7 linked regions of the Callithrix jacchus genome follow. The protein of the gene in region 1 interacts with the protein of each later gene in a pairwise test. Links are inferred from orthologs where the notes say so. Each region holds a gene or a part of one and is shown on either strand. Other genes may lie near its edges.

What was found.
Region 2: the proteins of VAPA (region 1) and CACNG1 interact in binary tests that used the Homo sapiens proteins (3 or more experiments, as listed by UniProt). The two-hybrid records come from large-scale screens. The link is inferred for Callithrix jacchus from reciprocal best matches to the Homo sapiens genes VAPA and CACNG1.
Region 3: the proteins of VAPA (region 1) and PGRMC2 interact in binary tests that used the Homo sapiens proteins (3 or more experiments, as listed by UniProt). The link is inferred for Callithrix jacchus from reciprocal best matches to the Homo sapiens genes VAPA and PGRMC2.
Region 4: the proteins of VAPA (region 1) and ZBTB22 interact in binary tests that used the Homo sapiens proteins (3 or more experiments, as listed by UniProt). The two-hybrid records come from large-scale screens. The link is inferred for Callithrix jacchus from reciprocal best matches to the Homo sapiens genes VAPA and ZBTB22.
Region 5: the proteins of VAPA (region 1) and OPRM1 interact in binary tests that used the Homo sapiens proteins (3 or more experiments, as listed by UniProt). The link is inferred for Callithrix jacchus from reciprocal best matches to the Homo sapiens genes VAPA and OPRM1.
Region 6: the proteins of VAPA (region 1) and APOD interact in binary tests that used the Homo sapiens proteins (3 or more experiments, as listed by UniProt). The two-hybrid records come from large-scale screens. The link is inferred for Callithrix jacchus from reciprocal best matches to the Homo sapiens genes VAPA and APOD.
Region 7: the proteins of VAPA (region 1) and ADGRG7 interact in binary tests that used the Homo sapiens proteins (3 or more experiments, as listed by UniProt). The two-hybrid records come from large-scale screens. The link is inferred for Callithrix jacchus from reciprocal best matches to the Homo sapiens genes VAPA and ADGRG7.

What each region holds. Positions count from the first base shown.
Region 1 is NC_133514.1:53,009,310-53,013,329, reverse strand, and holds the start of VAPA (vesicle-associated membrane protein-associated protein A), read left to right. Parts: upstream 1-1,220; 5' UTR 1,221-1,482; coding exon 1,483-1,561; intron 1,562-2,153; exon of another isoform or gene 2,154-2,425; intron 2,426-4,020. UniProt on the Homo sapiens protein: Endoplasmic reticulum (ER)-anchored protein that mediates the formation of contact sites between the ER and endosomes via interaction with FFAT motif-containing proteins such as STARD3 or WDR44.
Region 2 is NC_133506.1:122,263,121-122,267,149, reverse strand, and holds the start of CACNG1 (voltage-dependent calcium channel gamma-1 subunit), read left to right. Parts: upstream 1-1,229; 5' UTR 1,230-1,334; coding exon 1,335-1,563; intron 1,564-4,029. UniProt on the Homo sapiens protein: Regulatory subunit of the voltage-gated calcium channel that gives rise to L-type calcium currents in skeletal muscle. Regulates channel inactivation kinetics.
Region 3 is NC_133504.1:69,042,121-69,046,244, forward strand, and holds the start of PGRMC2 (membrane-associated progesterone receptor component 2), read left to right. Parts: upstream 1-1,324; 5' UTR 1,325-1,348; coding exon 1,349-1,766; intron 1,767-4,124. UniProt on the Homo sapiens protein: Required for the maintenance of uterine histoarchitecture and normal female reproductive lifespan. May serve as a universal non-classical progesterone receptor in the uterus.
Region 4 is NC_133505.1:41,558,128-41,562,149, forward strand, and holds the start of ZBTB22 (zinc finger and BTB domain-containing protein 22), read right to left. Parts: upstream 2,801-4,022; 5' UTR 2,598-2,800; intron 2,468-2,597; exon of another isoform or gene 2,373-2,467; intron 1,721-2,372; 5' UTR 1,652-1,720; coding exon 1-1,651. Other genes in the region: DAXX (death domain-associated protein 6), read right to left, coding at 3,448-3,507, 3,706-3,928. UniProt on the Homo sapiens protein: May be involved in transcriptional regulation.
Region 5 is NC_133505.1:160,798,259-160,802,382, reverse strand, and holds the start of OPRM1 (mu-type opioid receptor), read right to left. Parts: upstream 2,801-4,124; 5' UTR 2,610-2,800; coding exon 2,320-2,609; intron 1-2,319. UniProt on the Homo sapiens protein: Receptor for endogenous opioids such as beta-endorphin and endomorphin. Receptor for natural and synthetic opioids including morphine, heroin, DAMGO, fentanyl, etorphine, buprenorphin and methadone.
Region 6 is NC_133516.1:24,485,241-24,489,232, forward strand, and holds the start of APOD (apolipoprotein D), read right to left. Parts: upstream 2,801-3,992; 5' UTR 2,780-2,800; coding exon 2,726-2,779; intron 1-2,725. UniProt on the Homo sapiens protein: APOD occurs in the macromolecular complex with lecithin-cholesterol acyltransferase. It is probably involved in the transport and binding of bilin. Appears to be able to transport a variety of ligands in a number of different contexts.
Region 7 is NC_133516.1:91,826,522-91,830,021, forward strand, and holds part of ADGRG7 (adhesion G-protein coupled receptor G7), read left to right. Parts: intron 1-2,331; coding exon 2,332-2,675; intron 2,676-3,395; coding exon 3,396-3,492; intron 3,493-3,500. UniProt on the Homo sapiens protein: Orphan receptor.

The sequences.
Region 1 (4,020 bases):
GGTGGACTCTGATACCTGGATTGCACATGAAAACTTGGTGCCTGCGTCTTGACTGCTGTTTTGTCTCATTTATTTTCTAGACAAACTGTGCTGCTTTACGGCAGTAGCATCAATCAATATGTCTTTTATTTTGTGGCGCTTCCTAGATATTTAAATTCAGACAGTATCATACAATACAATAAAGGTTTATTTACAGCACATTCGCTTCATTTGACGTTCCTGTACCGGATTACCTTGGCAATCGGCTAAAGATTTGTCAGCAACTTTGCTGCTGGGATTTTTCTCATTTGGTTCAGTTTACTACAGCCTATCATAAGTGATGCAGATGGATTTCTTTTGTAACATGTGAACGTGACAACTGTGTTGGTTTGGGTCCATCATTAATCAAAACTGAAGATTCGTAGGCTCGATGGTGTAGATTTTGACTTTTGTTTCTAGCTTTTGTGTGCTTTGTCATATTTCCCCTGCGACTCGTTTGCTTCCTAGACGGGGTGTGCTTCCTTATCTGATTTTGCATCACTGGAGAGAACTCAGGAAGCAGGAGAGGCTGGATGGGATCATTACAGGGAATGCAGTCTTGCCAACAGAGGGATGGATAGAATTACAGAGCAAACGGACACATCCCCGCCTGTTCTCCACAGGGCAGATTTTATCAGTATATTTCTAACATTGGGAACTCGTTTCCGCCTTCAAAAGTTTTTTCCTTTTTAGCGCAAACTAGACGTGCTCTGAGCCAAAATTAGCGTCCGCGAACCCCACCCCATTCGCCTCAAAAGGACCTCGCTCACCTTCCCGCCCACAAACAGCCACTACTACACTTCCCAGCAAGCACCGCGAAGTACCAGGCCCTCGGCGAAGGCCCCGCCCCACAAGGGGCATGCTGGGAGTTGTAGTGAGTGGGCGCTTCCCCACTACTCCTCCCTAGGCATTCCCACTTGGAAGACCGTGATGCGCTGCCAGAGCAGGTTCTCTAGTTTCGTACTCGTAGCTCAACGTGACAGAGGACTGCGCCTCAAGCCTGCGGCTGCGCATCGCGTCGGTCCCGCGGGCCTTTGCCCCGCCTCTTTCCACACCCGTTCCCTTGACAGCTGGGCTGCGCTTGGAGCCGCGGCGAGCCCTCAGCGCGCAGGCGCAGTAGCCCGGCGCCGCGTTAGGTAGGCCTGGAGGGCGGGACGAGCGCGAGGGGCTCTCGGTCGCCGGGGCGCGCACGTAGGCAACGCAGAGACCATCACGTGGGGCGCCGAAGATCGCAGTGCGCGTGGCCGTGGCGGCTGGTGTGGGGTTGAGTCAGTTGTGAGATCCGGAGCTGCTGACCCAGCGGGTGGCCCACCGTACCCGCGACACAGCGGCAGGCGTCAGGGCTCGGAAGCGGCGAGCCTGGCTCCGTCCTAGAGGTTGGCCGAGCGGGCACCACCGTCGTTCCCCGCCCCCAGCCAGCAAACCGTCGCCGCGGGCGCGCCCCCGCTCTGCGCTGTCTCTCCGATGGCGTCCGCCTCCGGGGCCATGGCGAAGCATGAGCAGATCTTGGTCCTCGACCCGCCCACAGACCTCAAATTCAAAGGTAGGCAGGATGGGGACACCCCCGGGCGGGATGGGGCACGCGGACGGCTGTCGGCGGCGGGGGGCGCGGAGAGCACGTCGGCGGCCGCGGCCCGAGGGAGCGCCCCCTCCCCCACGCCCGGGCGCCTGCCCTTTCCCGGCTGCTGCCTCGCCGCGGCCTCTGCCTGCCTGCCCGGCTCTCAGGCTGGCTTCTTTCCCTTTCGCCCGCCCGCGCTGCAGTGCGCGCGCCGGCCCAGGCGAGGCGGAGGGGAGCCGGGCCCTGGCGCCGCCGCCGCCATCTTGCGGTCCCGCGGGGGCGCCACCCGGGTGTTCGGTCCCGCCCGCGCCGCCGTCGGCCGGGGCCCAAGTCCTTGGCTCCTGAGGCCGACGGCGTGCTTCAGCGGGGCGTGGGTGGGTGGGCACCCGCGGGCGTGCGGTAGGGGCTGCGGCGGGGAGTGGGCTCTGGAGGTGGCGCAAGCTGCGTCCGTCTCCGGTTCCCGCTGTCAGTGGCGCGGGACCCCTCGGGAGTGAGAGCCGTCTCCCGACTCTGGCCCCGGCCCGGGGAGAGTTGGGTGCAGCCGGACTAGGGCTCCGCGGAGGGCGTCTCTCCTCACCTTTCCTCCCTGTTTAGAACTCGGCTGTCAGGTGTAGGGCGCGCTGGGGAGGCGGAGGAGCCCGGGAGGTGCCTGGCGAGGGCTGCCCGGTGCTCTTGGCACGGCCCCAAGCGCGTGCGGGCAGGAGCGATGCGTCAGCCGCGAAAGCAGAGTTGTAGGTTCATAGTAGCGGGGCTTCCTGCCTTCTACGACATTTCAGTGTGCCACCCGCGTGCTTGCTCTTATTTAGCCCTTCAGTTGAGCTCCTCTGCTGAGAAGCCTTCAGTACGTGTGACTTTTGCCTTTACGTTTGCGGTTTCCTACAGACCCTGAGAAGGCTAAGGTCAGCCAGCTCTGGAACTTTGTAGGTTTATTTTGTAGCACTGCCGGTGATAAGTTTTCAGTCTGACTTGGTGATACTGGAACAATCCCAGGGGCTGTTTGATCCGTTTGCTTGTCAATATAAGGTGTACTTTAGGAAAGAGAGTTAGAAACTGGACAGGTTTTTGTTTTTTTCTTGTACTTAAGGAATACTGAAAGAGTGTGAACATCTAATAGAAAGGTTCCTTCCTATCTTTAGTTAAGTGTAAAGTGAGTCCCCTTTTGGAAGTCAGTGTCTTGTAGTTCAGTTTGTTGAATGAGAACAATTTTTGTGAGGTGTATAGCAATTCTAGTGCTAAAAGAAACAGTGAAATCCTTTATTGTTGTGTAACGAGAAATCCCAACTACATTGTTTTCCACAGGAAAAACTTTAGTTTTAGGAATTTAAAATATATTCTGAAATTACGAGATTAATATTGGATAACTGCATTGCAAGTTTTTTAGTGCATTTACAAATTTCTTTTCTTTCTTTCTTTTTTTTTTTTTTTAAATAAAGACGGGGTTTCACCATGTTGGTTAGGCTGGTCTTGAACTCCCGACCTCAGGTGATCCGCCCGCCTTGGCCTCCAAAGTGCTTGGATTACAGGCGTGAGCCACCACGCCCGGCCTATTGAATAGAAAAGTGAGTGAGCTACTTGTTGGGTAAGGATTTGGTTTTAAGACAAGGTGCAGTGAATGTATTTTATTGCAAGTTAATGTATGTTGTGTGATTTTACATAGTTTTAGCTGGGGGAAAACCTTTGAGGAATCGTGAAATGTCCTAACTCAGCCATAATCTTGAGATAATTGAATGTAAACCTCTATGATGTGTGTGTGTGTGTGTGTGTGTGTGTGTATTTCGTTTTTATCTTTTGACTGGCTGTGTTTACAGTGAACGTTTCCTCTACTGGATAACTGTGTAAATTGCCGTTAGGTGCTTACAAGCCTTGACAACCAGTTTTAGGCCATGAAATGTCCACAGAGTTTGAAGGTTTCTCCTTGGGGAAGTTGTTACGTTGCTTTAGTAAGAGACTAGTAATAGTGGAGAAGCAGGTTTAAAAAAAAACAACCAAAAACCCTACACAGTGACTTACTCATATATTTCCTTCTTTGGGGGTATTGGAGAATTATAGCTATGATTATGGAACACATTGTTCTTGTGTTGCCAGTACAAATGATAAGACTAGTAAGGGAAAAAGAGAAAATGTACAAATGGTGTAAGAGAGACACAATCCTGTCTGAGGAAAGAAGCCCTTTCTCTACGTGCCCCATCCATCCCTCCCTTAGGAAGCCTTTAACGAAAAGGCTTGTTTTTCATTTCAGGGAAGGTTTAAGCCCAGAGAGTGGTTGAGTAAACAAACTGTTGTGAGAAAATGCCTGGTACTTAAATGCCCAATAGTTCATTGTGTGTTTCACTTTAAAGATACAGATAATGGGGAGGATTGGGAGGTGACATTTGGTGTTTGATTCCTTTTTAATATTGTTTTAGTCAAAGGCAAATTGTTTGCTTTGATGGAAACCTTCGTAT
Region 2 (4,029 bases), on another chromosome or scaffold:
GTTTCTGTCCACATGGGGAGAGTCTCTGTAAACCGTGTCAATCTGAGGCCAGGATTTTGAAGCTCAAGGCCCCACCCAGCTTAGGAAGCTATTCCTGGTCATGCATCAGCCTCTCGGCTAGACCCAAAAAGGGCTACCCGGTAAGCTGAGAAAGAAGAGATGGCACAACCTGGCACAACCTGGAGGGATGTAGGGGCCAGAGCCTTGGGGATCCCTGCAGGGCAGCCAGGCACACAGGACCCTGGGAGGGCGCTCAGTTCCAGGCTTTCTGTGTTCTCTGCCATATCTAAGCACTCACGAGCCTCCTAATTATCCCCCGTAAATCAACCTATTTGTTCTTTTTTACTCACACCCTTATTTTGCAAATTAAATAAGTGTGTTCAAATTAAATAAAAATCATTATCACCTGCTGTTAATAGAGGCAAAACCAAACACAGTACCCTGAAAACAGAACGACCAAGTCCAACGAGATTCCTTGTCCTCTTCAGGCCATTCTCTCTTGGTTTCGGAGGACACTCTGTGGGCAGTACAGACACTGACCCCAAATGCAGCTTTGCTCTGGACCCAGTTCCGGGTATGGAAAGAGAATTGAGAAGGAAGTGATGTTCTCATGAAGGGGTCAGAGTCGGGAAAGGCCAGGCCTGGGAAACACCAATAATCTTCCCACGGTTTGGGGGAGGCCATGGATTTTGTGGCTAAAACACTCCCCAAGAGGTGGACTCCAGAGGCCCTGGACGGGTTCCCTGGGATGTCCCTAAACAGTCCTAGTCTCCCCAGATCCCAGGATGAGGACCTACTCACTGCCCTGCTGGTGACAGACTTGCCCTGTGGGAGCCCGGGAGAGCCAGGCAGCCTGCAGCTCTGGTCTCCTCCCCTGCCCTGGGATGCCCTTTCCCAGCAGCCCAGAGCAGGCAGGTCCCCACCCCCAGCCCCTGCTGCCCACCCCCTCCCAACTCAGACACCTTGAGCTGCTACTCCACAGAGGCCTCAATCCACCACCCAGAGCCTTCTCTCCTTGCCCCCCTACCAGGGTACTTCTGGCTCCCAAAGGAAGAAACCCCTGAAACCTGAGCAGAAGCTGTCCTCGGTGCCACGCCTGGAGACGGTCATTAATAGCAGCCTCCCTCAGGCCCCTGATTCGTCTGGACAGCTGCTCAGCATGTCCAGCGTCCCTCAGCCCCAAGCCCAGCCCACTCTGGCTCAGCCAGGCCACACTAAACTTAGTGGCCACTCCCAGCTTGACAGCCACTGCCACCCCCCAGCTCGGCTGTCACCTGCCCTAGGAGACACAGCCGCCGGACCCTGCCCAGGGCACCCACGCCTCGGCGACCACCATGTCCCAGACCAAAACGCTGAAGGTCCGTGTGACCCTCTTCTGCATCCTGGCGGGCATCGTGCTGGCCACAACAGCCGTGGTAACCGACCACTGGGCTGTGCTGAGCCCCCACCTGGAGCACCACAACACCACCTGCGAGGCGGCCCACTTCGGCCTCTGGCGGATCTGTACCAAGCGCATCCCCATGGACGACAGCAAGATGTGCGGGCCCATCACCCTGCCCGGGGGTAATGTACCCAGCATCCCTCCCAATCCCCACTTCCTGCCCTTTCCCATCTTTCCCCAACAAAGTTACCCACACGAAGCAAGGCAGGTTTCTCTGCCTAGAACAGGGCAGCCGCCCAGCCCTTTCTGCCCAGGGAAGAAGATCCGACTCGCATGTGCTGTGCTGGTGGCCGGAGCTGGGTTGTAAGACGAGGGCGTTTGTCCCAGCTATTTCTGTCTGGCTGGACCTTGGGGCTTTTTGTCCAGAGCAGACATCTGAGCAGGCTCAAGAAAGGGACTGTGGCTCTACCAGCCCGGGGGCTTCTGGGCCCCACCTGATCACTCCCTCCCTGCCAAGACAGGCTGAGTGGCTCTGTGTGCTCAGACTCGTGGAACCTATCAGGCTGGCAGGTTCGTTCCTGGACTTAAGGCAGGAGAGTAGACTGGACAGGTGAATTTGCAGGGTCCTGTGCTGAATGAAAGTGCAGGGTTCCCTGCTCCAAATTACCGAGGATTTCAAGGCAGTGACAGCGAGGCATGAAACCAAGCATGGACCCTTGAGGGCCCTGGGCCTAGGGCAGCTGCACAGGTTGAATGTCTATGAAGCAGGACATGGCTGTGGGTGAGCCGCCTGCCCCCTACCTTTTCTTGAGACAGAGTTGCACTCTGTTCCCTGTGCTGGAGTACGATGGTGCAATCTCGGCTCACTGCAACTTCTGCCTCCTGGGATCAAGCTAGTCTCCTGCCTCAGCTTCCCCAGTAGCTGGGATTGCAGGCATGCGCCACCATACCCATCTAACTTTTGTATTTTTAGTAGAGACGGGGTTTTGCCATGTTGGCCAGGCTGGTCTTGAACTCCTGACTGCAAGCAATCCGCCCACCTCGGCCTCCCACAGTGCTGGGATTAGGCATGAGCCGCCGTGCCCAGCCTCCACCCCCACTTTTGTCAGGACTTCAGTCCTCTGTGCCTCCTCTCTTAGCTCAGACCCTATCAGCATTTTAAAAGACCATGTCAAAGCATTTTCCTCATCCTGTCATTTAAGCATATTCCTCAATTTCCTACCATGTGACCAAACCACATGTCGAAGGTAAGCTCTTTTTCAGGAGTACCTGGTATTTGTGTGGCTAACCTCTATTCTGCAAATGCAGAGGCCTCTGGATTCTTAGCAAATACAGCACTTCTTTAGAGGAAAGAGGGCTACATGGAGACCAGGCGGCCAGGAATCATCACCATTGCCTACCACGCTCCAAATGACTCTCCAGGGAGGACAAAGCTCAACTCAGCCTCAGCTTCTTCCTCTATAAAATATGGGACTGACTCTCAACAACATAAGATCCCTTCCCAGGCTGAGGGACACCCATCCATGGTGGCAGTGGAGCAGGGTGATGTCAGTGTGATGTCCCACCTGGCTTTCAGGATTATTCCGTCTTTTATCAGACTGGATGTTCCTTGAAACCTGTCCTTCAAGGACACTAAGGCTGAGTCCCCAAAGATCTTGCAGTCTGTTTGTGGGTCAGAGAGCCCAGACCCCATCCTCCCATGTCTCTGCTCCCTCTTCCTTCCCTCCTGCTTGCTCCAGAGATCCCCTCCCTTGCTTACCCCAACTGGGTGCCCAGAAGACTCGTAAGTACCCAGCTGTTGTAGAAACACCAAGTCCCAGTGCTTGAGGGTGACAGGTGTGAGCATGTGCTGGCAGGGTATTGCATAGCTGGGATGCCCATGTCCCTTGACCACTGCGAAGCACACCCATAAACAGGCACAGCCTCCAGCCTACTCCCCTGGGTGGGGCAGGGCAGGGCAGGGCGAGGTAGCTTCTACAGGGACCACACATGGGGACGTGCTGTTACAGTCCTGTTCACCCATCTCTGGAACCATCTGACTTTTAAAGTCAGAGAAGAGGGCTGGGCAGTGAACAGAGTCCACACAAGGAAGAGACAGGCTGGTGAGAGGTGACTGGACCAATCACAGGGGGTGACAGGCTGGGGAGACGTTAGTGGACCAATCACAGGGGGCAACAGGCTGGCAAGAGGCGATTGGACCAATCACAAGGGACCAACAGGCTAGTTAGAGGTGAGTGGACCAATCATAGGGGGCCAACAGGCTGGTGAGAGATGACTGGACCAATCACAGGGGGGCAGCATGCTGGTGAGAGGTGACTGGACCAATCGCAGTCACTGGAACCAATGCTAGTCACTGGAACCAATGCTAGTCACTGGAGCCAACAGGCATTGCTTGAGCTTGAGCCTGACCAGGATCTACCTCTTTGACTTCTTAGCCTAACCAGCCATGAACCATACCTCCCACGCTTGTGACACGGAGCACTACCTTTCCCCCAGTAATCTTCCAAAGTATGTTCCTGCCTTTTTCCCTCTCTTTTCTGTGCAAATGGACATCTTTCTCTTTCCCTATCTGCCCTTCTTGTGTTCCCTGGGACCACTCTTCTCTAGAGGGAGGAAGTGAGTTCATATGTGGCTTCTCAATTAACAAC
Region 3 (4,124 bases), on another chromosome or scaffold:
CTGCATTCTCATTACAAGGTAGAGCTGAGTAGTTTAGACACACTTAAAATATAATCTGGATCTTTACAAAAAATGTTTGCCAACCCCTGCTCTAATGCCTCCACTAGCTCTGCATCTCACCTCACGCACAAATACCCTAGTCTACTAACTGCTTTCCCACTCTTTCCCCTGCCTCTAATCCTTCAGACACCTGGTTGCTATATAATCTCTCTACAAGAGTGTCGACCCTGTCACTTGCCCCGTCAATATCCACAGTGGCTCCTCCAAAACCGACAGTGAAAGGTTCAAACAGTCAAGACAAGAGACAAGGGCAAGAGAGAACACGTCAAAAGAGTTGAGTGCATGAGGCTTCAGGGGTCACTTTCACACTGGAATTTTTAAGATGTGACAGGTTAAAAAGACTTCCCAAGTACATAAAACAAAAGCTGAAAATAAGCATGAATGATAAATAGACCACCTCAACCTGTCCCCTTCCCTATGGCCGCAGAAATTATGATTCAAGGAATAATGAGACCCTTCGTCTAAATCCTTTAAAATTCCAAAAGAGCAGCGAGCCAGCGTGAGCAGCACGTAGACTGCCGATGTAAGAGGAGCCCGGTGCGGGCTCTGCGCTTTCTCTCCGTTCCTGAAAAACTCCAGCTCGTCGCCAAAACTTCTCGCCGTTTCCTGGTCTGCGCGCCCACGCTGCCGGTTTCCCGATAAGAGCGACGGCGCACTGGGGAAAAGCAGATGCCCCTCATCGGTTTGCGCCTTGCAGTTCAACTGTGCCCGAGCCTCCCACAAACCACCTGCCCGCGCCCTTCGCTAGGCGTCCAGCCAACGCGCACGTGAAGCTCCCGGGCGGGGCCCGCGCAAGAAAGCAAGAGTTTGCAGAGGCAAACTCAGCCCTGGGAAGGAAAGCGATTCTGGGGCGCACGCGCAGAGACAGGAGACTGGGCGGGGCGTACGTCCCGCAGGGGTTACAGAGAAGAGAGCGCGTGGCGCTCCAGAGCTTGCGCACGCGTTGTGGTCTCGCCCCGCCCATGAGCGTGCGCGCGCTGCCGTCGTAGCATCTTTTCTTCAGACCCGCCCCCTTCTTCTACTTCACCTAGGGGAGGCTAGGAGCGAGAGCAGGGAAGTGTGGGGCGGGTAGGCGGGGCGTCGCACAGGAGCGCGGCCTGCGACCGAAGGGAGGGGGCGGGAGAGATCCGAGACAACGTTACCCCGTCAACACCCAATCGGGATCCTGCCTGACCCCGCCCCCCTCTCCTCATGTTATTGGCTGAGAGGCTCCATGGTGGGCGGGGCCGGCCGTGGGGTTGGGGAGGGCAGGGGGCGGGGAGGAGGAGGAAGGCGCTGGCGGGCAGTGATGGCGGCGGGTGATGGGGACTTGAAGCTAGGCACCCTGGGGAGTGGCAGCGAGAGCAGCAGCGACGGCAGCAGCGAGAGCCCGGGCGGCGCGGGAGCGGCAGCGGAAGGGGGCGGCTGGGCGGCGGCGGCGTTGGCTCTTCTGACGGGGGGCGGGGAGATGCTGCTGAACGTGGCGCTGGTGGCGCTGGTGCTGCTGGGGGCCTACCGGCTGTGGGTGCGCTGGGGGCGGCGGGGTCTGGGGGCGGGGGCCGGGGCGGGCGAGGAGAGCCCCGCCGCCTCTCTGCCTCGCATGAAGAAGCGGGACTTCAGCTTGGAGCAGCTGCGCCAATACGATGGGTCCCGCAACCCGCGCATCCTGCTCGCGGTCAATGGGAAAGTCTTCGACGTGACCAAAGGCAGCAAGTTCTACGGCCCGGGTGAGGAGTTGGAAGGGGAGGGGAAGGACCCCCTGCAGCTCAAGCACGACCCCCTTCGGACGGGGAGGCCTCTGGGCACCGGGTTAGTTTGCCCAGCCTTCTCGTCGCCTGAACCCCCGCGCCTCGGCTGCCGCACCTGGGACGGCCCGGGCCGCCCCTACACACACACACACCTCCCCCGAGTTGCGTACACCTCCAGCTCTTGCCGCGAAACCAGGGGTCCCTGGTGGCGCCCCAGCGACCAGCTTTCATCTTTTTTCCATCCCATTTCTCCTCGCAGTCTTTTTTGTTGTTGTTGTTGTTTTTCTGGCTGGATTTTTTTAAATCCCTTTAGTTGTCACCAGTCAATGCTGTCCCTAAACCTTTCCTGAGTCTCCTGATTTCTGGGATGGGTGGGGCAGCAGGGAAGGGAGATTTCTGAAGTTGGGACCTAAACTAAAGTTTTAGGCTCTGTAATTCACAGCTTTTTTTCCTTTCTCTCTCTCTCTTTTTTTTTTTTTTTTTTTTTTTTTTTTTGCCACTGATCTCCTTTTTCCCTCTCTCTGTTACTCTCCGTAAGGCCACGTTTAGGGTCATGTAAAATCCCAACCCTCCAGTCTCTGAAGTCCGGGCGTATAAGCAACACCTCGGACTCTTTAAACCAGTTTTAGTTCGGAGATGCTTTCCATGATTAAAGAGGTATGTCAGATGAGGACAGACCAGAATGCAGACCTTATTATAAGACTGGTAAGGATATTCGCCCTGAGGTTTGGGGGTGGAGCTCTTATACCCAGAAGGCATGTCTCTGGTTTCTTTTTTTTCCTCTTTTCAAGTACACGTTGATAATGACTTGTGTTTTCACTTAGCAGAACTGGGAAGAAAAAGCTTAGAAGACCTATAGATTCATACCCACCATGTACTATGCAAGTTAAAGATTTTTAGAACTTTGTTTTCAGAGAACTGTGTGTAGGGTAGTTGATTTAGAAGGCCTTCTTTTACAGTGTGGTTGTAGCATACATTTTGGGTTATGCTAATAAACTCCAGACTCATGGAACCTGTTAGTATATCATGCAATTGAGCAACATACTAAGCAACATACAATAAGAATAAATAATTAAATTAGAGACCTAAAGTGACCTGTTATTGGAGAGAGTACATGCAAGCCTTAAAATCATAGGGTTGGCAGTCTGGAAATAAGCTGGTTTTCTCCTTCATTTAATCTGTGAGTTTATGAGATTTATTGACACATACGAATATGTACTTCTGGTTTCAGTGCTTCGTAGCTGGAAGATAGTTTAGAAGTGCTTTGGTTTGTAGTTTGTTCATTGGAATAGGGATAAGAAATAGGAGATTTTTGGTGTGAATTATGTAATTTATTTCATAGTTGTCTGTTTGTGTATATATATGTACATATACACACACACACATTCAATCCAACCAAGTAAATACATAGCTTACACAGTTTTTGCTTCTGATTATATAAATGTGAACACAAGATGCCTAGCTATTTATAGCAGCTGAAATGGTTAATACATTTTTGTTTACTTAAGCACACGTGGGACAAGAGACTAGGGCCAAAGTACAATATTTAAACAAGCCAAATTAAGTAAATTCTTTTTTAAATCAAGGATTTACACACCATTTTATACCTAGTGCAAGCTTCTTTCCCATTGGAAAATGAGTGTTGAGTGATTAGAAATCCTGTACAGGTTTAAATTTTTAATATAGACTTGAACCAGCTAAAAGATCAGCTTTTGTACCCTCTGTCTGAACTGCCACTGAAGAAAACAAAGCATATTAGTACAAAGAATCTTATTAGTCCTCACACATTATGCCTTGGCAGTATCTGAAAATAGCTAGGAGAGACAGTCATAGAAACAGTTTGGCAGTCTCCAGTGGCAAATGTTTGTTCTGTGATAGAAATTAAAAATTAAAGCCGGGCACAGTGGCTTATGCCTGTAATCCCAGCACTTTAGGAGGCCGAGGCAGGCGGATCACCAGAGGTCAGGAGTTCGAAACCAGCCTGGCCAACATGGGGAAACCCTGTCTCTACTGAAAATACAAAAGAATTAGCCAGGCCTGGTGGTGGGTGCCTGTAATCCCAGCTACTCAGAAGGCAAAGACAGGGAGAATTGCTTGAACCTGGGAGATGAGGGTTGCAGTGAGCCATGATTGCGCCATTGCACTCCAGCTTGGGCAACAGAGTGAGACGCCGTATCAAAAAAAAAAAAAAAATGTTTAAGAGTCATAGGTAGTAGATTGCTTTTGTATATGCATTGAGGGAGGCTCCTGAGATTACCATGGAGAAGTCAGTTTTAGATTAGTTTCTGCCAGTTACTGTTCTGATTAACAGCCTGAAAGTGATATCCAGTTATTCTA
Region 4 (4,022 bases), on another chromosome or scaffold:
GCCACATGAACTTCTTGGCGCAGACACCGCACTCATAGGGCTTGAGACCTGTGTGCGTCTTCATGTGCTCAGTCAGATGGTGCTTCATCTTGAACTTTTTGTTGCACACGGGGCAGTCAAAGGGCCGCAGATTGAGGTGCATGTTCACGTGCCGGTCCCGCATGCTCTTGTGGGAGAAGGCCTTCCCACAATGGCACAGAAAGATCTTATTCCCATCCCCACTACCAGTCCCTCCAGGAACCCCACCAGCGCTACCAGGGACCCCCAGGCCTCCCACGGACGTGCCCCCCAGGGTCACTGCCCCGTGTTCTACTTGGTTCCCTGGTGGTTGGCCAGGAGCCTGTGAGGAGGATGAAGACGATGGGAAGACCAGGATCTGGTTGCCCTGCATGTCCAAGGGAAGGAGCGGTCGAGGAGCGTGGGAGGGGGCATAGGAAGAGGGAGTTGGCCCCCCTGAGTCATCAAGACCTGCTCCAGGACCCCCACCCTCATAGGGGCCAAAGTCATTGGAGGACTCACAGAAGTTGACCTGCTCCTCCCCCTTGTCTGGGGGCTCACTCAGGGTACGGACATCACTTATGCTGAGGGTAGCCTCAGGCCCTCCCCCAGCTGGAACCCTGGAGCTACCCCCTAGCTCTTCATCTTCATCATCCTCACAGGTCAACACCAGGTCTTCCTCCTCTTCTTCCTCCTCCAGATCTGGGTCTTGGGGAACCAGGGGTGCTGGTGCTGGGCAATTACCACCTCGCTTCACATATACCCAGTGTTTCTGTGGCATGATGCTAGGGGGTGTGTAGGTGGGTCTCCTGAGCCCAGTCCCAGGGACCACTGCCCCCCTTCCATCCCCACCGTCATCGCACAGTTCATCTGCCTCCAGCAGCAGCTTCCCAGAGGTGGCGCCCCCACTGCCAACGACAGGGGCTGGGAATACAGGGCCACCTCCTCGACGCTCCCCACTGCCCACTGCAGAAGCTGCAAATGCCTCTTGGGAGGAAGATGAGAAATCAGTGGACTCCCTGGGGCTGAAGTAGTTGCTGCTGCTGGGAGACTGATTCTCACTGGCTCGGCTGGAGGCATGGGAGCGCACAGAGCCCATGGTAGAAGGGACCACAGTGCCCCCACTCCCGGATGGGACCCCAGCACCAGGGACAGTGACAGAGGTGGCTGCAGCAGTAGTGACGGTGGTGGTAGCTGAAGCCCGGCCTTCTCGGAGTAGTTCAGTGCACTTGTCCACAATGTGCCACATTTGGAGCACAGACCCCACCGTGAGGAAGTTGACAATGTCAGCAGCAGCCATGCTAAGGCGGCCAGTGTAAGCGGAAGCTAGGACAGTCTCGAAGGCGCCTGGGTCCATGACACTGGGCAGCGAGATGGAGGTCATGCCCTTGAGTAGGACCTGATCATGGAAGTAAGGGGAGGAGGCAGCCAGCACAGCCCGATGAGCCCGGAACTCCCGGCCCTGTACTCGGATAGACACATCACAGAGCTGGCCCTGAAGACGCTGCTGATTGAGGGACTCCAGGAGGGCACTGGTCACCTCAGGGAAGGACACATGTACCACTGCAGCTGCTGGCAGGGGTAGTGGGGGTGGAGCCAGCGACAGCGGCAGGGGGAGTGCTGCCCCACTGGGAGACAGAGGAGATGGCTCCATGTTGTGGAGGGAGGGGATACCCCCCCAGCCACAGGTACAAAGGAAGGAGGAGGGCGGCCGGGGGGGTCTCTGGGAAGAAAGAGAGAAAATAATAATGATAAATCTCATAATGACACAGCCAGTTTACACTCATTATCTGCGTAATTCCCCACAACCGTGTGGTATTACTCTCAACCCCATTTAACAGAGGAGGAAACTAAGGCTCAGAAAGATTAAGAGATTATTCAAGGTCACACAGTCAGTAAGTGGCGGCGCTAGCAAACACAAGTATCTGACAAATCCTGAGCCCTTTCCTTGGAGATTATAGAGAAAGAAGGCGCTCTTAGGGGCTGGTGTGCCTTCTTCGGAATTATACCCTATTTCCCATTTACCTGAGCGCCTGACATTCCAAAATCTACCTTTTTGGCGTTTGTACCCATTTTTTGGGAGGGGGCAGGGCAGCTCCTCTACTGAAAACCAACCCTCTGTTCAATCTCCCCCTCAGGCTATGCCCCCCAGCTCTCTCGCCGACCACGCCCCCTTTCGCCCCAGCTCCTACCTAGCCCCGCCCCTTTCCAGGCTCGCCCCGTGCCCCGCCCACTTTCGGGCCTTTCGACCCCGCCCCTTGTCTAACCTCCGCCCACACCGGACCCCGCCCCCCCCCCCCGCTCCGCCCCAGGCGCTACCTCGGCCTCTTCTCCCACCCGGAAGGCGCCCCCCAACCTCGCGCGTCCCCGCTTACCGGGCCGCGCGCCCCCGGGCCCCCCCCGCCCCTCACTCGGCGGCCAGAGCTGCAGCCTGAGCCCCTCCCGCCGCCATCTTGCGCCGACTCCCTCCGCCCTCCGCCTCCGCTCCGCCTCCCGCCCCTCCGACTTTAAAGGCACAGCCGGGCACCCCGCCCGCGCCGCTGGGCAATACTCGGCCGACTCGGCCACTTTGCCTTTAAAGAACCGTCGCCTCATTCCACCTTAAAGGATCAGGTCCCCTCCTCCGCTGGGAACTCAGGACTTGGTTCGGCCGAAGCATTTATTCCCCTTTAAAGCTACAAGCCTGCCTTTTCCCATTGGCGACGGGTCCAGGCACCGTTCCCCAGGCTCCGCCTCTGAGCTGTGACCATTAGCTGGTTGGTGAGATCTAATCGCCTCCTTCCTAGCTCCTGACATTTCCCCTGAAGCCCCGCCCCCCGTCTCCGGGCCTGGATTGGCCGAATAACCTTGAGTCGGTCTCTCATTGGCTTTTTCACTCCAACTGCAAGAACTGAAAAAGTAAAGTGCGTTAAGGCGGCTGAAGCACTTTAAAAAAAAAAAGTACAGCCTGAAAAACATGGCGAAACCCCGTATCTACAAAAACTACAAACGACAAAAATTAGCAAAGTGTGGTGGCGCGTGCCTGTAGTCCCAGCTACTGGGGAGGCTGAGGCATTATCACTTGAGACCGGGAAGTCCAGGCTGCAGTGAGCTGTGATCACACCACTGCACTCTGGCCTGGGTGATAAGATGAGACACAAAAAAAGAAAGAAAAAAAAAGACCAGGTTAGAAAGGACAGATCAGGACTACCCCGGGAACATCGGGCAAACCATGAGCAAGGAAAGGGACAGCTAATGCCAATCCATGACCACAGAAGGAAAAGACAGTGATACAATAAGAAAAGAAGTTTATTGTTTATTAATGTTTCTGTGTAAAACTTAAGTTTTTTTTTTTTAAAAGAAACACCAACAGGGGATTAGCTCAGTCCATCCTTTGCTCAGTCATCTGCTTCCCACCATCCTCCAAATGCTATCCCAAAACATTTTGGAGGCAGGGAGAAGGGGAGGCAGCTAATCAGAGTCTGAAAGCACGATGATCTCCTCTGGATCACACTGTGTGGCCACACTCGTCTGCAGGGAAGTGAGAGACAGAGTCAGAGAGATATGGAGTACAGGGGAAAAGAAACAGACAGGAGGATTTAGAGGATAAAACGTAGGTGGGAAAAAGCGAGACAGAGAATGTGGAGGGTGAAATATTCAGACAGAGCAGCTGAAACAGACAATGAAAGAGAACAAATTATCAGAGGAAACCCAGCCTCCCCTTCTTACCTTGTAAGTACCAGGCTGGGGAGGTTGTGACTGGGGGGTTTGGGACAGCCGGGCTGGAGAAGGGACGCAGAGGGAGCTGGTCACAAGGCCATGGCTGGGAGAGTCTACCCTTGTGGAGGAATCAGCAACCGGGGCCAAGGAAGCCAAGGGGGAAGGTGGGCTGGGCAGGGTACATATCTTTTTCCCATTCTTCTCATGCACTGACCTTCGCCTTTCCACATAGCTAGGAACAGAAACATAAATATGTGGAGGGGTACAGGAAGACTGAGGCTGGAGGGAAACAGTCCAGTCTCTCCCAACAGACTCAGTTCCCCCAT
Region 5 (4,124 bases), on another chromosome or scaffold:
CACATTCTGAGAGGATTACCTGACCCTGCAATTCAAACCCAGTCTGCCACAGGTGGGTGTCTGGGATGACCTTTCAAATAGTACTGTATTTTGTAAGAACTTTCAGTACTGAGAATAAAGCATAATATCATGTTCTCAGTAAGATGCACTGTCACCATCTTTCTCCAAGTCAACAAGAGGCCAGAGGTAATGCCTTTAAAACTAACTCACCCAAATCTCTTCTATACTGGAAGAAGACCTATCTGCTCATTTCACAGCCAGTTGCCAGTCTATTGGCTCTCTCTGTATATGAAAGCATAAATTAATGAGGAGAAAAATGAGGAAGGAAAATACCAAGGAGAAGCAATAAAAAGGAATAAAATATTATGTTTCTGATGGCAGGATTCCTAGATGCTTTGGTAATTTCTGTTTCATGCTTTTTCCCTCCAGGATTCCATACAGAATTTGGGGATCATTTGCTATTCCCAAGTTATTATTGCTATATCAATCCACTCTGTCAACCTAATAGTTGAATTAACTCAAATCATGATTTGCCAGCATAATAAACTCAAAATTACATTAGCTGGGAAAGATTCAATGGCAATGAATTAATGAACTATCTGTTCTTGGAGAAAATCATTTACATGTTCTGTTCCTCAGTTTACTTAGCACACATAATTTCTAGAGTCCCTTGTACCTTGATTAGTTTATGATTCTATGAAATTCTTATAGAACAAATGAGAAATATATTTTCTTTTCACAAAGCAGGCCTTTAATTATAACTTTGTCATCATAACTGCAGAGTGAGACTTGGTTTTTAATCTTTAATGTGAATCATTGTATTTAATTACTTAAAGTAAATGTTTTTAAAAATAAATTCTTCCATTTATCTTCTCACATTTTTCCTTCTGTTGTTAGCCTTCCTCTCAATAGATGGTGCTCTTTTCTCAGAGACAATACTTATCTTATTCCTCATGAAAAGATCAGAGAAATTAGTTTTATTCTTTAAAAATCATTAATTAAAGAAATCAGACACATGAGTGGAAAGAATTGCTTACAAGCAATTTGCAGCATCTTGGTAATAAAAGCATACCAGGGAGAGCAATTGTTAAATGATTTAAGAGCTCCTCTCAAACCTGCAATACTTGCTGAATAGGTGAAACAAATATTGTAACTAAAAGTGAAAATGCCATGTTCTCTACATACACATACCCCTGGTTAAAAACAAAAAACAAAAAACATCTATCTAGGAACCATTTTAAAGTGTTAAAATATTATTCTTCTTTAACAAAAACAGATACATGCCATTTCACATTCACATGTAGTATTTGAATATACAGGTAAACACCAACACAATCAGCATCAATCACAATCAATATTGAGAGCTTGCACACTCTGCCAAATATAGGTGGAACATCTAGGTAAACAGAAAGTGGACCACAATTCTTTTGAATTAATTTTACCTGATAAGAACACTTTGTTTACAGCACCATCACAACTTCCTGTATGAGAGTTTCTGTAGTTTCTAATGTGGAATTATGGTGCTTTTGGTGACTCCTAATTAACTCCAACTTGTGGAGGCATTGAAATACAGCCATGCCCTGCGGTTCTCCTGAACCATCCTACCCATTCCAGATGCAGTTTGTGACTTAGGCGATCTGAAGCTACCAACAGCAAACTAATCTAAGCAACACAGCTGTCATGTTTGTTATAAAAGAGCAAAACTACCATGGAGAGATGCCAGGAAAACTTCCTTTATCTAGTGTTGCCTCAGGATGAAAGGAAGAGTTAGTTAAGGGCTGCTACAGCAGGGGAGGAGGAAGGGTGGGGTTGTGGTACAGGGAAGTACTGAACCAGCAGAAGTAGGAAAGTTGCCAGGGTTCATCTCAAAACAACTGAGAAGACTTGCAACCTACCACCCACTCCAACCCGCCCCTCAACCAAATTTGGGAAAGCTAACTAGAATTTCTAGAATTTCTCTGTCATTTTTCACAACTTACTCTTTCCATAGCTCCTGCAGAGGGACTGAGTGTAGGACTCTGACAAGAGCCCTCTTTGCTCAGAATAAGGAAGAGCTCTAAGTCTACACTTATCTTCACCCCCACCCCTAGACCTTTGTAGCTTTTACCAAAGCAACTTCTCTGCTTCTGAAATTTTGGAGTATTTCTGTAGCAATTGGGGAAATACAGAAGTAGCAATCACTGTCCATGGTCGCCTCTAGAGTTTCCCCGGTTTACCTCCCCTCTTTCATCCTCCCGCCCAAGATTGAGCCCTGGGGGTCAGGTGTCTCTTTGTACCCCCATGAGCCTCTGAATCCTCCACTTGGAGCCCCTTCCTTACCTGACAATCACATACATGACCAGGAAGTTTCCGAAGAGCCCCACCACGCACACGATGGAGTAGAGGGCCATGATGGTGATGGCCGTGATCATGGAGGGGCTGCCAGTCGGAGGGCAAGGGCTGTCGCTCCCTCCCAGGTCGGTGCGGTTCGGACCGCAGGGGTCGGACAGGTTGCCATCTAAGTGGGACAAGTTGACCCAGGAACCAGGGCTGGGCGCTGGGGAGCAAGTTGAGGGCGCCAAGGGATCAGTGCAATTGCCGGCATTCGCGGGGACTGCGCTGCTGTCCATGGTGCTGACGGTCGGCCGGGCACTGCGGTGCGAGGTAGCCAGGAGCACTAGGACTTTTCGGGTTCCAAGCGCCTCAGCTGCTTCCTTTCGCCGCTGCCACAGCTCTTGCTATTTCTTACAGAGGCCAGTCCTGGCGGAGCCAGAGAGGAGCGTCAGGCGGAGGGGACCGAGCTGAGCATCTGACATTCTCCTCTGCCTATAGCCCCCTCCCACCTTAGTAGTTCACGGAGGCTCATCCCCGACCCCAGGCGGCTGCGGGAGGGGAGGGTGGGCCAAGAGGGATTTGGAGGCTGGAGGGGAGGGAGGAGAGAAAAGGGGTGGATTTTGCGCAAAGCGATCCAAGGAATCGGTCTCCTCACTGGACACTCTTCCGTGCAAACACATCTAAGGGAGGGAGAGAGAGAGAAGGACTGGGGAGAGAGACAGAGTTAGTTTTTGGCAGCAGTGAAAATAAGAAAGGGGGCTAACATCACTCTATTTTCCAGCTCTTTTTTCTCCTTATAATCTGGCAGGGAATACATTGGCTTGATGAAACCCTAACAACCCTGAAACCCCAATGCTCTTTCATCCCTACTGACAATTTTGACTATTTGAGAGTAGGGGACACACAATCTTCTTTTGCAGTCCTTGTTGCTAACATCTAAGAAACGGTAATAATGTTTTTCCAATTTTCTTCCCAACCAACCTGCTGGAAACAACAGCGATCCTCTATTTTCTGAAAAAGAAATGAGAAACAAATAAACTTTTGCGGAGAAAACCTGTTCCCCGCTTTCCCCAGTTTCTCTTAGGGTGAAGTTCTGTTTGCCTCTGATTTTGTCTTAGTGGAGAAGAGGAACAAGAACTGGTTACGGAAATCAGAAGTTTGTGGCATCCAGTAAAATCAGCTAAAGATAATGTTGATCTTTCACATCTTAAATCTCATAGACCTGTTTGGAATTATTTATCCTTGTTAACCCCAGACTTTCTCGATAAGCATATGCTTCTGAGAAGAAGGTTGTTAACACCAAACAAAATTTGCATTCAGTCTGTTTGCTAGTGTAGAAAGTCTAGGAAGAGCCACATAGCATATGGAATTAGAGTGGCCTACAATAAAATCCTTGAGAAGCATGGATACGTTTTTGAATTTTATACCTTACTTTAGAAGTGAGGTATCAAAAAAGAACTTACTCTTTGTATTTACAAATTTGTTTATAAATTAGAAGTCCACCAGTGCTTCTATTTTATAAAGAAATTTGTAAATTCAAAGAGTAAGTTCTTTTTTTGTAAAGTTAACACCAATTCTGAAGTAATTCTCATTTCTGTATGTGTCTATATTTGTGCATGTGTCTATCTTTTAACCATATACATTGAAAATACATATTCCCAGTTGGTCTTGAAAAGCGAACTGCACTCTTGGGAAGCATGGAGGGAAGACCTTGAAAGGAATATTTAATTCCACTATTATTTTTAGGCATTTAGCTTAGAAACAGGTAACTCATAGGTAAACTCGATTAATCATAGGCTATTTTGCTAATG
Region 6 (3,992 bases), on another chromosome or scaffold:
TTCTTTACCTCTGTAGGAGGATTTCAGAACAAACCCCCTTGATTGCCTGTCTTCCAAAGAAGCCTCTTCGTTGCAGTAGTTTTATTCCTGTGGTTAAAACTCCTTGTGAGAGAAGGGTGGACGGCATCCATTACATTTTTCAATGCCCTCTCATTTTAACTTACTCATTACTTATTGAGCATGTTATTAATGTGCACTTAAGACTTTGGGGAACATATGGATTCTATATGATATATATTTTTGCATCTTATTCTGCTATCAATAGGGAGATTGCTCTAATTAGGAGTTTAAATACTTTACAAAACAAGCGTATTTAAATATTATTATTATTACTATGTTTGAGAAGGAGTCTCGCTCTGTTGCCCAGGCTGGAGTGCAGTGGCGTGATCTCAGCTCACTGCAACCTCCACCTCCCGGGTTCAAGGGATTCTCCTGTCTCAGCCTCCCGAGTAGCTGGGACTACAGTCATGTGCCACCATACCCAGCTATTTTTTTGTATTTTTAGTAGAGACAGGGTTTCGTCATGCTAGCCAGGATGGTTTCCATTTCCTGACCTCGTGATCCACCTGCCTCAGCCTCCCAAAGTGCTGGGATTACAGGCATAAGCCACCACGCCAGGCTAAATATTATTTTTGGCCGGGCACAACTTACGCCTGTAATCCCAGCACTTTGGGAAGCCAAGACGGGTGGATCACTTGAGGTCAGGAGTTTGAGACCAGCTGGGCCAACATGGTAAAACCCTGTCTCTATTAAAAATACAAAAATTATGCCTGGAACAATGGCTCATATCTGTAATCCTAGCACTTTGGGAGGCCGAGCTGGGTGGATCACCTGAGGTCAAGAGTTCGAGACTAGCCCGGCCAACATGGCGAAACCCAATCTCTACTAAAAATACAAAAAATTATCTGGGCATGGTGGTGGACGCCTGTAATCCCAGCTACTCAGGAGGCTGAAACAGGAGAATCACTTGAACCCCGGAGGCGGAGGTCACAGTGAGCCGAGATCACACCATTGCACTCTAGCCTGGGCAACAGAGCAAAACTCTGTCTCAAAAAACAAATCAAAAACAAACAAACAAAAAATACAAAAATCAGCCCAGCGTGGTGGTGTGGGCCTGTAATCCCAGCCTCTCAGGAGGCTGAGGGACGAGAATGGTTTGAACTTGGGAGGCAGAGGTTGCAGTGAGCTGAGATCGTGCCGCTGTATTCTAGCCTGGGTGACAGAGCAAGACTCCGTCTCAAAAATAAAACAAAATAAATATATATAATTATTAACTGAATATGAGGTAATTTCAAAGCAATCCTACTAAGGTTACAGTGCATCCACCTTGGGCCTGGCACTAACTGTAAATCACTGCTCTGCATGTACTGGGTGGATCACCTGAGGTCCTGGCCTCAGGACTTTAAGTGTGCTATGCACTCAGTCTCCACAGCACCTCCTCTGGAAGCTGGTAGGGACAAGCTGCCCCTGAAAACCCCCTCCACACAGCTGACCTCCCACTCTGATTGCTCAGCAGCTGCATTCCTATCTGGTGCCACAGCAAGGCTGCCAGACATACTACGATTGAGATTGAGCAAAGCCTGATTACAGCCACTTGGGCAGCGCGGAGTGAGTGGAGGAGGTCGTGGAAAACAAACCTTTGTTTAAATTCCTGTTTTACACATACCTGTAAAATCCTGTTTTTTTAAAAAATTGCTGCCACAAAAATCACAGGACGGTGTATTATAAGTGTGTCACAAGCTAAAAAACTATCTTTGCGTTTGTTACAAGCTGATAAATTACCTTGGTCCTGAAACTCCCTTATGCCCCTCTCACCCCATACAAACCCCTTGTTTTGTGGGCTTGGGGCTGCCTCTTCTGATTGTTACGTAACAGCCTGGCAGGGTTATAAAACTTGCTGGCCTGATATCGGGTCTACTCTCCTTTCTCTCGGCTAACCTTACGCAAGTGACCTCTGCTGACACTCTTTGTACCAATGAGATCAATTTGTCCTGGTTACTTCCTGATAAACTTCCAAGCCGGAGCGTAAGTCTAGGTCCCCCAAGAGCCCATGTTCTCAGTGCCCATGTGGACAGAGCCCCTGATCTCAAAGGTCTGCAGAACATGAAGGACTAGATTTTGAAATTTCACCTCATAAAATAAAATATGTTCCAATAAGTAATTAGGTCTCAAAGACTCATTTAGCCATTAAACAGAACAAGAAACGTATCTCCCAAACGCAGTATCGTATGCCATATTGTTAAATGCATTTTCTAGTCACACAATTAATTCCAGTTTCCAGATTATTCTACTGTGATGCACAGTTGGACAACTCACTGAGAATTCACTTAGCACAGTGTTTGTGCATGGAAAAATTCCTTGCTGTCCAACAAGGTTTGCTTTGTATTTTTAGTAGAGACGGGGTTTCACCACGTTAGCCAGGATGGTCTTGATCTCCTGACTTTGTGATCTGCCCGCCTCAGCCTCCCAAAGTACTGGGATTACAGGCGTGAGCCACCGTACCCACGTTTTTATCATAGGCCTGTTACTTAGTGTATCTGAACCTCAGTTTTATCATCTGAAAAATGGCTCTAATGATACCTGCCTTGGACATTGGTTGGAGGAAAAATGAGAACAAGTCTAAAGCTACCAACACAAGCTCTCAATCAGTGGCAATTATATGCAGCTGAAAAGGGCCTATGGAAGTTTCTATTTTAGGCATTATCATAATTGAAACGGTTAAAACCACAGTACGTACCTTTTCTGTCAAGATGAAGGCAGTATCCACATGCAAAATCATCCAATTTGAGATGACTGTCTTGATGACTGGCCTCTCCCAAGCTATTTTATAAGCTTCATTGGGTCTTTGATGTTTACTTTTCATGGGTGCCACACCCCCTACAGCCAGGAGGGCTGGCCTAAAAGCTTAGTCTGTATAAAACAAACACAAAGATGGGATGTTGTGTCCATCCTCCTCCCCCAATTTCTTTCACAGCTGCTCCCTGGAGAAGAAATGAGATATTGTTTTCGTGTGTGTGTGTGTTCGAGAAAGAGAGAGAGTATGTGTGAGAGAGAGACAAAGTGTGTTTTCATTCAAAATATTTCTTTTTTGCTGTGTGGATTTTCTAATTTATTTATTTATTTATTTGTTTAGGTGCAGAATGCACTTCAAAGTTCCAGCAGGACATGTGGCAATGTTTCAAACATCTGGTATTTATTTTCATTTTTGCTTAAATGAAAAATCAACAAGCTCATTTCCTGAAGTGGAACACGACTCTGACGTGGCTCAGGTAATGGAGCAAGAGTTACGAGTCAGAGCCGGCTTTCTCCAGGGTCCTGGGTGGCCCCCTGACTTCTCTGAGCCACAGTCTCCTCGTTGTAAACAGGGGCTGTCATTTCTGTCTCCACCAGAGCTGGATGTGTAGAGGAGACGCCAGTTCTCTAACAGCTGGGGCTAAAAGTTGAGAACGCAGAAGATGTCTTCTGCCGCTCTGTTCTCTGGCCCTTTAGGATCCTCCCAGCCACCTGTTCAAGACAATCTGTCACTGCTTGGGAGTGGGGGTTGGGGTGGGGTGGGGAGTGTGGACTTAAACCCAGGGATGCTTTTGGTCCAGCCTTATCTCTCCTTGTGGAATGAACAACTTTGACTCTTGTGAACGAGATTCTATGCCTTTGTGATAGGCAGGAGGTATTTTTAGAGACATTTAGATAAGGCAGTACCTTTGTAGTAGACTTAGACTCCTACATAAAATTCATTCTAAAATATGTAAGCAGCAGAGGTAAATGTACAGCACTGAGCCTACACACAGGCAAACATCAGCAGCAGGTCCCTAACATCCCAAACATTGTGAGCGCTTTCTTTGAGATGTTCTTTAGCTTTTCAGAAAGATAAGAAATTCTTATTTCTTCCCAGGGCCTGCCTCTTGCTATCCTCATGGAATGCCTTCCCCTCAGAACTCTGCGTAGCTCCCTTCTTCTCTCCTGATCCCTGTTCAAACAGCACTTTTCCCTAA
Region 7 (3,500 bases), on another chromosome or scaffold:
CACATTAAATGAGTCTCTTGCCATTCATTTAAAAATTTTATAGCGAATGCTTATGATGTAAGGAGCTGAATACAAAACTATGAACAATCTCCTATCTCTTATGAAATATACATTGTTGGGGGGAGAAGGCAGACATTATGAAAATATATACACAAATGAGTATATAGTTACATATTGTGGTAAGCTCCTTGAAGGAAAATTATATGCCATGTAACGACATATTTGTCATGTAAAATTAAACGCCTCTTGTATTATCTCATTCTTTCTATTTCTACCATCATCACAGTTGTACTGACAATTACTTGGTCCCATAGGGATGAGTCAGAGCTGCTGCCTAACCAGTTTCTTTGTTCAAAGCTCACTCCTCTCATTTGTCATCAGATATTTTTCCTCCTTTATCAGTTTGTTTTCTAGCGCAATTATGCAACCATAGATGCCACTAAAATTCATCAGGAAACAAAAACAAAAATAAAACCCAGACCCGAAGGCTCACACCTGTAATCCCAGCACTTGGGGAGGCCAAGGCAGGAGGATTGTTTGAGCTCAGGAGTTTGAGACCAGCCTGGGCAATGCAGCAAGATCACATCTCAAAAAAGCTTTTTAAAAAGAGAGAAAACACAAAACAAAAATGAAGACATTTTATTGATTTTAAAATCCTGATCTATAAAATTTTCTTTGTATACGGACAGGTTCCCATATAATAATAATGCACAGAATACAGGCAGTCCTCTATTGACCACAGTTCAACTTACAATTTTTCAGCTTTAAGATGGTGTGAAAGTGACAGCATTCACGAAGTTTCTTGATTTATGGTAGGATTGTATCCCAATAAACTAATTGTAAATTGAAAATATGGTACGTTGAAATCGTATTTTGAGTTTTAAAGGTAAATTACATGGAAAAACTCAAGAGACTTTTTCTCTACATTTAAACATGAGTTCATCTACTAATGTGCAGAATTTTCTATTACAAAAATTTAAAAAATCCATATAAGGCCTCTTCTACAGATGGCTTTCATATAAGCTCACAAATCTAGGGTAGAACTTACTACCTCGTGCTGTATAAAAAACTGCCCCAAAACTCAGTGGATAGGAACAGTTATTATTTCTAATGATTTTGTGGCTTGTATGGGCTCAGCTGGGAGATTTTTCTACTGCTTTTGCTGGAGTCTTGCAGTCAGATGGCAGCTGGGCCAGAGTCATCTGGAGGCTCACCTCGGATGCTGGGGCAGCTGGATCTTTCTCCCACTCCGTACAGCCTCAGAGGGCTTGCATGCAGTTTTTTCAGCAAGGTGGCTGGGCTTTTTACACAGTGACTCAGAACTCCCAGGAGCACAAAAGGAGAAGCTGCCAGTGTTGTAGGACTTTCTCCTATATCACTGTTGTAGTTCAGCTAAAAGCTGGGTTCTCGTCATATGATCATGAAATACTAGGCTCGCAGACACTTTGGAGGGTAAGAAGGACAGGGTTTATTGGATGAAAAGGAAGAAAAAGGGAAACAGGAACTCTCAGCACAGTGCGAGTTCTGCTAGTAGGCTCCTTGCCCCTCACCCCCACACAGATGAGTCCTGGGTTCTCACCCCGGAAGAGGAGAGGCCAGGCTCTTCCCCGCTGCAAAGGGCGCGAACTTCCCACAGCTCTTGCCGGTTCTCCCGAGTATGCAGGTCAGCTGGAGGTTCTCCCGAGACCCCTTTACACTTGTGTGTCTCACCAGGAGGGCCATGTTGTGACTTTTATGGTCCCCAGGCACTTGTGCCTTTGTGGAACCTTTCATTTTATTAATGAAAGATTAAAAATAATATTTTATGGTTCAATTGGTGCAAAGATGAATATATTAATATTCTTTGAGAAGAGTCCTCTTTTTTATTCTATGCCTAAAAGAAGGCAATACATTACTATGGGTTACAAACACGAAGCAATATTGTGTTAAAGGACAAGTTGGCCTTGGCTGCCAGACCTTTTGTTGCATCCTATCAGTTAAATCAATGAACAGGCCAGGCCTCTGTGAAGGAACTACACACAGCGCACCTACCAGGAAGTAGGTTCACTGAGAGCCATCTTTGGAGATTAGCTATCACTTTTGATTAGAACACAGTTTCAAGAAAAGATACATCAACCTGTTTCCTTTAACTCATGACTGTGGAAATGGTAAGAGGAGAGCATATTTTCTGATGTAATTGAGAAGATGGATTTACCAGCTGTCCCCACTGGGCGATGAACTGAACTTATATTGGACAACAATAGTCTTTGTTCCCTAGAAATTTCACTAATGTCTGTTTTGTGCAGTTGTTTTGTTTCATTTAATTTTTTATATTTATTTATTTATTTTCAGGAAAGTCAGAAAAACCTCAGTAACCTGGGTGTTGGTCAGTCTGTGCATATCAATGTTGATTTTCAACCTCCTCTTTGTGTTTGGAATTGAAAACTCAAATAAGAACTTGAAGACAAGCGGTGACATCGAAAATATGGACTTTAATGATAATGTCATACCCCAGACAGACACCGTTAACACCCCGAATCCCACCTGCACTGCGATTGCTGCCTTACTGCACTATTTCCTGTTAGTGACATTTACCTGGAATGCACTCAGCGCTGCACAGCTCTATTTCCTTCTAATAAGGACCATGAAGCCTCTTCCTCGGCATTTCATTCTTTTTATCTCATTAATTGGATGGGGTAAGTGTTTGTATCTCCCCTTTCTCAGGAATTTAATTTTGCGGAAATCATTTAATTTAAACCAACACTTATAGAAGGTCTAATAGTCCAGGGCCTTGACGTAATTAAGAGGAGGTAGAAAAAAAAATGCAGTGATTGCTGAGAATACTTTCCATCTAGTAGCTTATACTCCAGTGAAGGAGGCAGATGGGATCAAGGCAAGAATACGAGATACAGCATAAACTGATGTAACTAACATGAAATTGTTAATTTCCTTATCTCTTTTTATTAATTTGATTTAAGATTTAGGCCACAAATGATTAACTTCCAGCTACTTTAAAGGAAATGTTTCCAGAAAGACAATCAGAGTGATCCTTTAAGCACAAATATGTGAAAAATTTGTTGCGTTCCAGCAAAGGAAGACTTGCTTTAGGTATATCTAAATTTAAATTTATTCAAGTGACAGGGAAACTATGCCACTAAAAGTGAAAATAGTGGTAAGAGTTACAAAGAAACCGGAAATAGGATTGATCTGTAGAGCCATCACTAAAAGGGAAAGGAAAACACTTGGAGGAAAATTATGTCCACTGTCGACCTACATATGTAGGATCACTGTGTTATGTCCGTAGTGAAAACAACATATATCCTGAAGAAGGTCTGATGTATAATTCATGTATGGTCTTTCATAATTAATCCACGTCTGGATAAAGTATTAATTCCATGCCTCTCTTTATCACATAGGAGTCCCGGCTGTAGTAGTGGCTATAACAGTGGGAGTTGTTTATTCTCAGAATGAAAAGAATCCACAATGGGAATTAGAATACCGGCAAGAGGAAATGTGAGTTT